Neurospora crassa OR74A: one gene and its partners. The protein of the gene in region 2 interacts with the protein of the main gene of each other region in a pairwise test. Links are inferred from orthologs where the notes say so. Each region holds a gene or a part of one and is shown on either strand. Other genes may lie near its edges. The genes, in order: pp-2, cot-1 and NCU09740.

The links.
Region 1: the proteins of cot-1 (region 2) and pp-2 interact in a two-hybrid assay, tested with the Schizosaccharomyces pombe proteins (2 studies listed by BioGRID). The link is inferred for Neurospora crassa OR74A from reciprocal best matches to the Schizosaccharomyces pombe genes orb6 and skb1.
Region 3: the proteins of cot-1 (region 2) and NCU09740 interact in a two-hybrid assay, tested with the Schizosaccharomyces pombe proteins (2 studies listed by BioGRID). The link is inferred for Neurospora crassa OR74A from reciprocal best matches to the Schizosaccharomyces pombe genes orb6 and mor2.

What each region holds. Positions count from the first base shown.
Region 1 is NC_026502.1:2,954,801-2,959,192, forward strand, and holds the start of pp-2 (protein arginine N-methyltransferase HSL7), read right to left. Parts: upstream 2,901-4,392; 5' UTR 2,603-2,900; coding exon 2,468-2,602; intron 2,395-2,467; exon of another isoform or gene 2,385-2,394; coding exon 306-2,384; intron 200-305; coding exon 17-199; 3' UTR 1-16. Other genes in the region: NCU01612 (pre-mRNA splicing factor ATP-dependent RNA helicase PRP43), read left to right, coding at 3,616-4,392. UniProt on the Schizosaccharomyces pombe protein: S-adenosyl-L-methionine-dependent protein-arginine N-methyltransferase that can catalyze both the mono- and symmetric (type II) dimethylation of the guanidino nitrogens of arginine residues in target proteins.
Region 2 is NC_026504.1:4,484,382-4,488,518, forward strand, and holds the start of cot-1 (serine/threonine-protein kinase orb6), read right to left. Parts: upstream 2,941-4,137; 5' UTR 2,304-2,940; coding exon 2,116-2,303; intron 2,038-2,115; coding exon 1,717-2,037; intron 1,650-1,716; coding exon 1,152-1,649; intron 1,093-1,151; coding exon 616-1,092; intron 558-615; coding exon 245-557; 3' UTR 1-244. UniProt on the Schizosaccharomyces pombe protein: Interacts with pak1/shk1 and coordinates cell morphogenesis with the cell cycle. It is essential for maintenance of cell polarity and is involved in mitotic control.
Region 3 is NC_026504.1:1,962,675-1,966,239, reverse strand, and holds part of NCU09740 (cell morphogenesis protein), read right to left. Parts: coding exon 1-3,565. UniProt on the Schizosaccharomyces pombe protein: Required for the maintenance of cell polarity. Has a role in localizing F-actin at the cell tips.

The DNA of each region.
Region 1 (4,392 bases), on a different chromosome or scaffold from region 2:
TTACATTTCCTCTCTTCTAACCAAAAATGCAGGCAACCTTACGACTGCTATGCATCTCAGAAGCGCCAACCTTGATACGGGTCTTGGGACCCACCCAAGCATACACTTCAACCATCCACTCGTACCACACCCTGGTGTCGTCGGTCTGGCGCCACATGCTGACTTCTAGCTCGGTGTCCTGAGGGAAGTAGAGGGGTTGCTATGTATCGTCGAAGAAACAGGGTCAGTAATCGTCACCAAAGCAGGAGCGAGGAGCGAAAAGTCAAGAAAAACAAGAAATGAAGGAAGAAGAGATAAAAACTCACCCTAAGAGGGAAGAAAATCGGGAACCAGGAAATCATGTCCTTGCTCTTCCGATCAATCTGATCTGGCAAGATACTAATTTCTACTGGCGTCTTGCCCTCCTCCTGATGCTTGTACAGCACGCTCTCGAAGTAGCCCGCCAGACCATGGATCACACCTCTCGTGGGACAGACAAACGTCAAATGGCAGTGCCGAGCATTATGCTCGTTGATGCCGCTGGAGCCGTACATGCTGCCGCTGCCGTGAGTAACATACTTGCGCGCGCGCCCGTTTTGGGCAGAAAAGTCGTCGGCCCGCGACACCTCGACGGGGTGCACGAACTCCCAGGCCTGCTGGAACCGGCCGTGCTTGGGCACTTTTTGGGCAACGTAGGCGAGCTGGAACAGACGTGTCACCCAGGGGATGTCGAAGGCGTTGGGGTCGCTGACGACGCGGTTGGACAGGTCGGCGAAGATGCGCGGGTGCGCGATGGGGGAGAGATGGGCGGTATACGAGTAGGGGATGGAGATGCCGTGCGGGCGGGCAATGTGCCGCTGAATGCCGTCGAGGCATTCCGGGGAAAGCTCGTTGTCGCCGAAGGAACCGAGGAGCTCAGTCACGAGAATGTCGAGCTTGGTGATGATGTTCGGGTTGGCTGCGAGGCGAGGACCTTCCCACTCGCGCATGTCGGTCTTGATCACCGTTACCGAGTTGTTCCACTCGCGCTTGTTGCGGCGCAGGAGGTAGACGTAGGCGTTCTGGTTCTTCTCCAGAGCCCAGAGCTGGATAGGAGTGTTGGTGGATGCGGCGGCCCGGAGAACGCGGGCAACCAAGGGGCCGCGGCCGGCGCCGGCGACGGCCACGATCAGGTCCTTGCCGTCGGGCGTCTCGGGCGTCACGGAGGAGACGGGCCGGTTGTACTTCTTCCATTCGAGCATGGCCTCGGCCACGGCCTTTTCGTACTGATCGTACTTGACCGGATCGCCCTCAAAGACCTCGTATGTGGCCGACTCGAGATTGTCCGAGAGCGGCTGGAGAGGGGACTGGAGCCAGTCCTGGAAGCTGACGAGCGAAGGAGTTTCCATGGCCGAATAAGGGGGCTGGTGTCTCTCGAGGTACTTCATGTAATCGACGTACTCGTTGTAGGGAGGAGCATACGGCTTGCGGTTCTCCTTGACTGCCTTGCTAGCCTCGGACAAAGGAGGGAAGTCAACCTCCATCTTGCTGGGGGCCTCGACGAGACTTTCCGTCGACGGACCGACATTAATCAGGATTAGCCACGGGTGGTTCTTGAGGCGCATATAACGGTTGATCAAGTCCTGATGATGGCGGGTAAGGGAAGGATGACCGGCCTTGTTCAGCGAGAAGATCTTCTTATCGAGGGTCAGGTAGTGCAGCGGCTCGGAGAACCAGCGCTCCTGCAGGTCCTTTTCAGGTACCCGCTTGGGAATGCGCAGGGCAACAAACAGACGACCGCTGTACTTGCAGACGGTCCGGATGGTGTGCCAACTGTCCCAGGTGCTGAAGAGATCGATCTCGGTGCCCTTGGCAGCATCGGTCTTGACGGTCTCCTTGGAGTTGGAGCTGCTACTACCGTCACCAGCAAGGAGAGAAGAAAGCGTCTCTGCCTCCTCCTCCAAACCAGGCTCGCGGTACATGGGCAAGTGAATGACCAGATTCACACGACCACCGACTTCCTGAGCCTCCTGAATGGCACGTGCATACTGAGCAACGGCACGGCCATCGTCCTGTCTTGGGCCGGGGATAATGATGGTCCTGGAGCCGCAGAAGTTGGCGTAGGCGAGCTCGAGGTTCAGCACCTGACGGGAGATGTCTGAGATGATGGGATCGGCAGAGCAGAGGTCGATCCATGGGCTGGCATAGGCGATGAGCGAGCCAACATAGCTGCTGGGAAACAGGGATGTATCGTCGTCAGTCAAGGTAGGAACCGTAGGAAGTGGCAGCGACGGGTTGGCCTTTTGGGCGTCAGTGAGTCCCCGTTCGGTGACCCACTGTTCCCGTTCTTGGAGATGGCTCTTGTACAAGTCGATCACGCGCTGGTGAAAGTGCTCGTTGGTGATGGGGGTGGTGACAAAGTTGAACTATTCTCATCTCATGTGTGTTAGAATTTATGCTGTTGCTCGTTCTTCTTTCTCTTCCTACTTTAATGTAAGGAAAGACTTACACCACTGTCCAAGATCTGGCCGTACTGATTGTCAGTGGGCGACTCATGTCGTTGGACATCATGCTGGCCAATGTAAAAGGGCGGCCGTTGCTCGAAAGACTCGGACTCGGGGTTAAACCCGCGATTTGAAGACATGATGAGTGAGTGACTGGACTTTTATGTGAATCCGAGTGAGTGAAAGAGAGTGGACGAGACTAGAAGTAAATAACCCCGCGATGGTCCAGGTTAGGTTTGAGGTGGTACGAACAGCAGCGGGAGGGGTACGGAGAAGGTAGCTATACTAGTCTCTGGGGCCTGTATACAGTAGAAGAATGTATAGGCTGTACTTTGATGAGGTATCGGACCCAATCACAGGGAAAATTGTAAAGACTGAAATCAAAGTTGGATGGTACTTTTTTTTTATTTTTCCCAAAACGGACTGACCCCATGGCAGTGGATATTTCCAGGGAAGAAGCACCAGAGGAAAAAGTCCAACCTCAACGGTCACCAACTCGAAATAAACAGGTATGGAGGGGTATAGATGGATAGGTACATGGAAAATGAAATAGCTGAGTGAAAGAAAGATTGCACACAAACCCAATGCGCCAAAAGTCACAATGTCACAATGTCACAATGTCACAAACTTCATCAACCTGCCTGCATTTTGCCTCTTTTTTTCTTTCTTTTTTTTTTCTTCTTCACGTGCAGCAGGAACAAACTGAGTGAACCTGACAGTTACAGAACAGTGTAGAAAATTACCGTCTTAGTGCCCATCAGGGTCCTGTCCAATGCTACAGTGATTTGCTTATCAGCGCTTGCCAAAGACACTCCTTACTCCACTGAAGCTTATCACTGTGACCCCTCATTGGTCGAGAGTCGCTGCGGCCAGGAACTGCCGGCCAGGTCTGACCTATCGCCCTGACATCAAACAAAAAAAAAGTTGTAGCCTCGCATGCCTGCCCACTGCCCTCCCCTCCACTCTGTTTCGCTGTTGTTCATCACTGCCACTGGAGGTGCCATAATCGACACTCCGCCTTCTGTTTTGCCTATCGCCGCTTCTCTTCTTCCCCTTCAGTTCGGTCTTCTTGTTTTGTTTCCTAGTACCCACCCCTCTCGCTCGAAGAAACAAGATATAAAAAAAAGGCCAGCTGCCCTCGGTCGGTACCACAATGGCCAGCCACGACGACAAAGGCGTCAAGAGATCCAACATGGACGGCAACGACCAGGACTCAAAGCGCATCAAGCGTGCCGAGAATGGCGATGCTGCCCCCGAAAAGTACAACCCCTACCTCGCCCATCTCAACGAGGACGGCAACGGCAACGGCACCAATGGCGACTTCGAATCGCCCCTCGACGCCTTCGAGAGGCACAAGACCACCGCCGCCCAGGCCGCCCAGGCCGAGGACTCGGAGCTCAACCCGTGGACCGGCCAGCCGCACTCGCAGAGATACTTCGACATCCTCAAAGTGAGGCGCGACCTCCCCGTCCACAAGCAGCGCCAGGAGTTCCTCGACATGTACCACAACACCCAGATCCTCGTCTTCGTCGGTGAGACGGGTTCCGGAAAGACCACCCAGATCCCCCAATACGTCCTCTACGACGAGCTCCCCCACACGAACGGCAAGCTCATCGCCTGTACCCAGCCCCGAAGGGTGGCGGCCATGTCGGTTGCCCAGCGTGTCGCGAACGAGTTGGATGTCGAACTGGGCCAGGAAGTCGGTTACAGCATTCGTTTCGAGAACCGGACCGGCCCCAAGACCATGCTCAAGTACATGACGGATGGTCAGCTCCTGCGCGAGTCCATGCACGACCACGACATGTCCCGCTACAGCTGCATCATTCTCGATGAAGCCCACGAACGTACCCTCGCGACCGATATCCTCATGGCCCTGCTCAAGCAGATCGCCGCCCGCAGGTCAGACCTCAAGATCATTGTCATGTCTGCC
Region 2 (4,137 bases):
GTACTTATTCAGCCATATATGCGGAACGGAAAATTCGCGTACTATCAGCAAAGTGTCTCTGCCATCAGAAATTTCAACAGCACCGCGAGCTAGCAAAGACGTCAAAGCCAAGTATAAGGGGTACCCAGATACTGCCGCCCCGCAGCACAACCTCTTCTCCCTTTCGCCATCACTATTACGCCCCCTTCCTCCCCCCCAAGAAAACCAACGCTCATTATTCAGACAGCGAGAAGACGTAACGCAATTATCGGAAGTTGTTGTCGAAACGCTTGAACGTGTATCCAATGAAAGGCAAGCTGAGTTCTGGGCTCTCCTCCTGCTGCGCAGGGGCAGCGGCGCCCCTAGCGGCCTGCTGAGCCTTGAGCAGCGTGGCGTTATCCGTCTGGTCAATCTCGTCCGTAGGGAAGTATGTGGTATCGATGGCGGATGTAAGACGGGGCTCGAAGGGCGCACGGATGCGACGCAAGCTGTCGAACTCAACGCCGCGGAAGAAGGCGTGGCTCTTGATTTCGTGAGCACCACCACGGCCGAGACGGTTCTCAGTGTTGCAGATGAGGCTATGACAAGTCAATATGGTGAGCGCGTGATTTTGGGGGAAGTCAAAAGCATGCATACCTTCTGATAAGGTTCTCGGCATCTACACCAAGGGTGATGTCATCCGGGAAGTAAAGCGAGTGCCTCCAGTTCACGATCTTGCGGTAAGTGTCGTGGCTATCCTCGGCGCAGAAAGGAGGCCAGCCGACCAAGCACTCGAACATGATGGTACCCAAAGACCACCAATCGCAATCAAACGAGTAACCATGGCCAGTGAAGATTTCCGGAGCAATATAATCTGGTGTACCGACGGTCGAGTAGGCCATCAAACGTCTGGAGCGTCTCCAGTCATTGATCTGTGCACGGTTGCTGACCGTCAGGTTGATTTGGTCAATAGCAACCGAGTTGCGGTTGTCGCGCGGCTTGTTGGATTTGCCCTGGAGCAGTTGTGTGTAGTAGTTGTTATCATGGAGCTTGTGGAAGCCGGTAGAGAGACCGAAATCTGTAAGCTTGACATGACCACCCCTATCAAGAAGGATGTTGTCTGGCTTAATATCTCTGCATGCACAACCGTGTCAGTATCTCTTTTCCAGAGCATTGCTTCCGGCGAAGCTTACCTGTGAATGAAGCCCAGCTTATGGACCGCGTCGATAGCCAAGACGATTTCGGCAATGTAGAAACGGGTAATATCCTCCGAGAAGATTTCGTATTTGATCAGCATGGTCATCAAGTCACCACCGGGCAAGAACTCCATGAGCATGTAAAGGAAGTTCGCATCCTGGAAGGTGGTGTAGAGCTTGACAACCCATGGGCTGTCCGACTCGGCCAAGATATCTCTTTCTGCTCGGACGTGGGCAAGCTGGTCCTTCTTGAACATTTCCGTCTTGATAAGCGACTTCATGGCGTAAACCTTGCCGTCGGCCTTCTTCTGCACGAGCTTGACCTCGCCGAAAGCGCCCTTGCCGATGATCTTGATGGTCTGGTAGTTCTCGGGCTTGTCCTTGGTTCTCAGGAAGCGCAAATACTGGCCCTCCTTCCGGCCAGCGGTTGACCAGATCGATTCGCGACGGCGGGCATCGTTGGTCTCACCGAGCTTCTGCTCCATCTCGCTCTGTCTGAAAAGGGTGTCAGCACCGATCACGGCGGGATGTAGGGGCAAAAGCGCATCGCTGCAGCATTCACCTCTGGTTGCGCTCCCTGGCGCGCTTGACGCTGTCCTTAAAGAAGTCAGAGGCCAGCTGTGAGCACTTCTTCTGGTTGTTGTTGGCATTGGGGCCATATTTGTCGGGGTTCCGCTCGGGAGCGGGAGCGAACTCGGTCTGGGTATTCGAAGGCATCGGGGCGCTCAGATAGTTGCCGTAGGTTTGCTGCTGGCCAGAGTTTCCGGATGTGCGAGGGCGTTGAGCGGGAGATGGGCCACGAGAACCGTAGGGAGAGGCTCTTCCGGCGCTGCCAATGTTCTGATGGGCGAACTGGTGGGCGAGACCAGTGTTGGGGTCGTTGCTAGTACCGTCAATGTTAGAATGAGCTTGAACGAAGCCGTAGTCGGCGGCACCAGGAGGGGCGTAGTGGCTGGCATACTGGTTCTGTTGATAGTAGTTGCCGGACTGGGCGTAGGCCTGGTTGTACTGCTGGGAACCACCGGCTTGTTGACCTGGGAAGACGGGTTGGGGGAAGGTGGACGGGGTGGTGGGATAGGTACGATCGTTTGGAGCCATGCGGGTATCGTTGGTGCCCAGGTTGAGATGGGGGCGGTTGGTGTTGTCCATCTTGGTACCTTGTCTCTAAACGGTAAACAGTGGATTCCGGGTGTATGTAGCGGGAAGGGCGCAAGCGAGCTCAGACGAGATTCCGAGGGACGGCAGATGGAGAAACGATCAGAGTCGAGCTCCCAGACCGATCGATGGGATCTATGCGCACAGAAAGGGGTTTGTGTACAAGACGGGATAGGTATGGGGAGACGGGAGGAAAGGAGGTTGCTTTTTCTTGGGACCAGGGTCCAACGAGGATCGAACGACGGTTGGCTACTGTAGATGGTAGGGATGGGAATCGAGGGCGGCCAGGCTGGGGGGGCAGGTGGTTGAGTGGCACCGTCCGAAGTGGAAGTGTCCCGCTGGAACGTGCAGTCGATAGGCGCAGTGTGGAAGTGGAAGCAAAGTGGAAGCGTGACCGACGTGAGCCTCTCCAGCCTACCTACAGGAAGGAGTCTGACAGGAGAGCACTGGCTGGAGGCGATTCAGGGCGCTGTAATTCGGAGAACCTAGGTACGGACGAATCAGACAAACGGAAGGGAAGCAGGTGGGGCAGGGTCCCTGCGGTATCAGTATAAATAAAGACCTAGACGTATAGAGGTGACATGGAACCTAACAGATCCCATCTATAAGTGACCAAGACATAGACTGTGATGATATGAGACAGCCACGGGCGCATTCAAAGGACACCTTGAATAACAACAGACAACTAGGAGCATCTTTACGTTTCCGTTTTCTGTTGCCACAGGAAGCTGGCCTCGATGTGAATCTAGTACACGATGCCCAGGAATAAGGAGGTCGTAGAAAGAGGGGTTCCATGTTTGGGATGACATGCCCAGGTCCAGTGGTGAGCTCCAGGCCGAAACAGGACCACCTAACTATGGGGTGCCCTGGTCAACCTGAAAACCCCTGACTCCAACCTCATCGTCAGACGTCAACTCGTTGCTGTCTGTTCCGCACTGCTGCCATCTTCTCGTGCCTCACAAGCACACTATAGGTAAACCACCAGTCCCCCGAGTGTTGAAGCTCGACGCAACGGCATTGGACCTCGAGAGCATCGAGACTCTGGTCCGGGAATTTGTTACTGGCTGGGAGCGGGCACTCCCGGGTCTGCAATTGATCGAAGGGGCATCCTGGTGGAGCTGAAGGTGGGGTGAACACGCTTAGCGCCATCGACACCGCATCTTCCCTGGGTGCTCCTGTTCTTTCAGGGGTTGCAGCGTCTCGGAACAGTTGTGCCCATTGATCACGCAAGAGGTCATCATGATCGCTGACAGCACATGAAGCCCAAGTCGCCACGACCGAGTATACAATTGTCTACTGTAGAGACATCCTCTACGATGCTTCAGCAGAGAATCCAGGGAAAGTAAGAACACGGAACAGGTAGCCCGACTTATACAAGCTCAGGTACCCTTTGCAGACGCTTTTAGAACCTATAGTTCTGGCTCAGAAAGATGGAACCTGCTTCAATAGGGCTGACTAAATTCCCCAACTTATGAGAGTAAAGTCCAGACATGAGACTATCTTGGAACTCTCAAGATAAAATCTTGGGCCGTTCCAAGTCTGCGTGGTCTGCATTTATACACTAAAAGTTAATTCAAGTGTCACTGGCATGACGTGCGGTTGACCTTCGCATATGGCCCGTGCACAACCACTAAACGCGATGAAAGATGCAGGTGGGTGCCGCCGCGGGAATGGCTTATCGGCTTATCGCGATAAGAAAGTGTGTCCGGGAATTTTGGCAGTCGGGTGCTCCGCTGCACCGGCCCCAAGGTCCTCAACGGAGCTCCTACGGAGTCGCTGTCCGTAGTCCGTACAATCGTTACGGAATCCCGTCGTCCTCTTCAAGTTG
Region 3 (3,565 bases), about 2.5 Mb from region 2:
TCCTCGTCAGAAATAGTACTGCAGAGCCTGGCGATCATGTCCCCTAGCATGTAGTGATCAAGAGACGTCAAGATGCACCTGAAGATCTGAAACGATCGACAAGCAAGATGTCTAACTGGACAAGATGTTGCCCAAGTCAGGGAGAGCCTGCCCCACTTCTCTTTGATGCCGGGAAATGTAATCTCGAACGTCTTGACCATTTCGCCGGTCAGATATTCCATGCTCGGGGGCACCTTGTTGTCGTGAGCGCCAACATTGCCATTGCTATCTTCGTAGCCCCACACTACAGACCGGTCATGGCGGCGAATAGCATCGATCAGACCTTCGATGCTTTCTCTTGTGGACTGGGGAACGTCGTCATCGAGTCTCGAAATAACCAGTTCGTGGATAAGATGCACCAGCATCTCACGGGCTTGCTCTTGGACAAGCGCAGTGTAGTGATCCCATAGCACCGTGACCACCTGAAGTAACACAGGCACATTATCAGGAACAAGGCAAGCTGGAGCCACCATAAGATCAACTAGCAGTATCAAAGATAGTTGTCCTAGAGAGAAGCCAGCCTGTTTTGTCCCTATGGGGAGCACCTCTGAGAGATCTGCACAGTAAGGCAAGGTGTTGATATCAGGCGGCGGCGGCACGGCTTCTCGTTTGTCGTTAGTTACCATGGACTTTGGCGTAATTTGCATGAGCAGAAACTCTATCACCTCGTTTCCAGGGGCACTGCTAGTGCTAGCGAGGAAGACCACGATCTGCTTGGCATATTCAACAAAATTTTGCTCCCGTCGTTCCAGGCAAATGGACATGATGAAGTCCAGAATCAGCCTCACATTGCCCGGATGAGGACCTGTCGCCAGAGCCTGCCAGAGTGCCTGGACCTCGTTGTGCAAGGCTGCGCTCGACTTGATGGTGATTTCCAGGAGGTTGGCAAGAAGCACATATGATTGTGCGGTTGGACCACCATTGGGGTCGACGGTCAGCTCGATTGACTGAATCCAAGGAAGGATGATGGCAACCACGTTCCTTTGGGCCACTGACCCTACCTCCTTAAAGTAGTAAGTAAACTCGGAAAAGATGTAAAATGCCAACTCAGTGTGTTGTTTAGCCAGTCGCTTGGATATTTCGAACTGAGCAAGTTTGTAAACAGCCTTGGTTTTGTCAGATATGCTGATATCAAAGTCTTGTATCTTGGAGTTTCGCGCCGGTTGTTGCCGCTCTTCAACTGTGCGCAAGACTTGTGCCGACTTGGACCGTATATCACTTTGATCGTTACCCAAGGTGAATAAGCAGAGACCGAGGAGCTTCCAGAATGGACAGGGGTAGTCGACATGCTCCGAAAGCACTTCTACCACAACCGTGAAGTAACTAGCCAACACCTTGGGGACCTCGGTCGTATAGCACTTCAAGATGCAATGATCCAACAGAGCGGGATATTGCTGGTTGTGAACGATGAGGTTCTTGAGAGCCCGCCGTCCGATGAGATTGATGCGATTGCTTTCCGCGTTGAAGATCGCATCAATCCAGTTCAGCATACGGCGCGCGTCGAAATAGAGAAACGAGCCGCTCTCGGTAAGCACACGAATAGGACCTCCGCAAAGCGATGCCATGGCACTGAGGGCAGCTGTCCGCAAATTTCTTTTCTCGATTTCCATGGCGGCGCTCACATTGCCACGCTCGCCTGCACCCTGCTCATTGATGACCGACTGTCGCATGGTAGCTTCCCTTTGGGAGATTTGCGCTTGGTTGGGTGAGAAGCCACACCAATCTTCCATTAGCGTGAAAGCCGACTTGCGGGACTCAAACGTCATCCAGCGCGATGGGTCTTTCGTTCGGTTGATGCCTTCGAAGAGCTCTTCCATGAGGCCACAGTAATGCCGCCTTAACCTCTGGAACTCCCAATCCATCTGGACTTCAACGTCCATCAGGAACAGCTTGAGGTCTTTGGCATAAGTGACTAGATTATTCAGAATCCATTCGTCATTATACACCTCTGGTAGTTTCAAGAAATGTGCCGTCAGCTTGTAGACGTGAGTGATTTCAGTTCGCACCAAATCCATCTTCCGGTTACGCCTTGGGTTGCTGTTGGTGCGCTGGTGTGGTTGGATTCGTGCCCGTGCTTCGTCGTTACATCGGGAGACGTGTCCCGATAGTTCCTCCAGAAGGGTGCGGTAAATGTGAATGTTGATTGAGCCCATCGCAGTAACCGCAGCATCTCTGACGGAGCTGAGTGATGCCCCAAGTAAGGGGTTTAGATACTTGAACAATGTTCGCGCCGTCACAATTTTGTCAACGGTTGAAGAGGCTTTGGAACCCTTCCGGCCGTGTTGACCATTCTGTGCCGAGCTCGACTGAACACCGCCTGGGTCTGCTAGCGTCGTACAGGCAAAGACGAGATACAGCTTGAACTGCTCAACAAGCACCTCGGGCTGCGTGGTTGGGGTCCTAACCACTCGAGAGTTGCTTCCATCAGATCCGTAGTACATCCTTGCGGATGGCTCAGATATTATGACTATCGCCTGGTAGAGCTGCAGGATTCTGTTGCAGACAAGGTCGCGGCCGATGGTGACTGTGAATGGACACTTGTCATATGCAATCCGTACAAAGTTTGGGAAAACCTTGAACCAAAGTGTGGTATCATAGGACACATCACTGGTACAGAGCTCAAGTAAGGCTCCTTGGCTGTTCGAGTTTTGCAAACCTCGCTCCAATCTGCTGCGCTCAGCTACCGAGAGGTGGTCATCATTGAAGCTCATGACCTGCATCGAATCGTTCTCCAGGATGTCGATCAGTCTCATAGTTTTTTCCTCTTCGTGGTTGCTCGTCTTCCGCAAAGCTGCGTCAAATTCGGTAATCAGGCGAAGAACGGTAACTGCGTAGTACCGCACACGCCGGGACTGCGAACATAGGAAAAATAAGCCATGTGCTTCTACTTGATCGACCTCGGCCCAGATACCCGAGAGGTCAAGCTTGATGCCTCGTTTGTCAGTCCCACCGGGTCCGTCGCTCTCTGCCTCAGCATCTTTCGTCTTTCGCCTGATCTCGTCGATCCAGATGTGAAGAAGCTCGACATAAAGCATGAGTGTTTTTTCAATGTGCCCTGGGCCCAACATCCCACCATCAGACATGGTCGAGTACCGGTCGTCGAAGTTGAAAATAAAGCGGGCAAACCCCATTGTAACTTGCTGGGCATGAGACTGCCGAGCGATGGCCTTGAGTGACTGCGCCGATGAACGCGCAATGTTTGATTGGACATGGGCGGTTCCGGTACACAGAAGGTTGATCAGCGTATTGAAGGGGATGTCTACCGACAAACACCGTGGTAGAGCCTCAACGGCGACGTGAAACAACTCATAGAATGCCTGTTTCTGCTCGTATGCGCTTTGTTGATCATCACGGCGAGAGAACTTGAAAGTGTCTGTCATGGGCGTCTTGGGGCCAGGACTATTGAACTTTTCGTCCTTGAACTTTTCATCCAAGGCAGCCTGTCCACCGAATGTGTTATCGCAGATTATGGCGATTTTGCCGAGTATTTCACAAAACCGGCTGTAGTAGTCTTTCACCGTGTCAG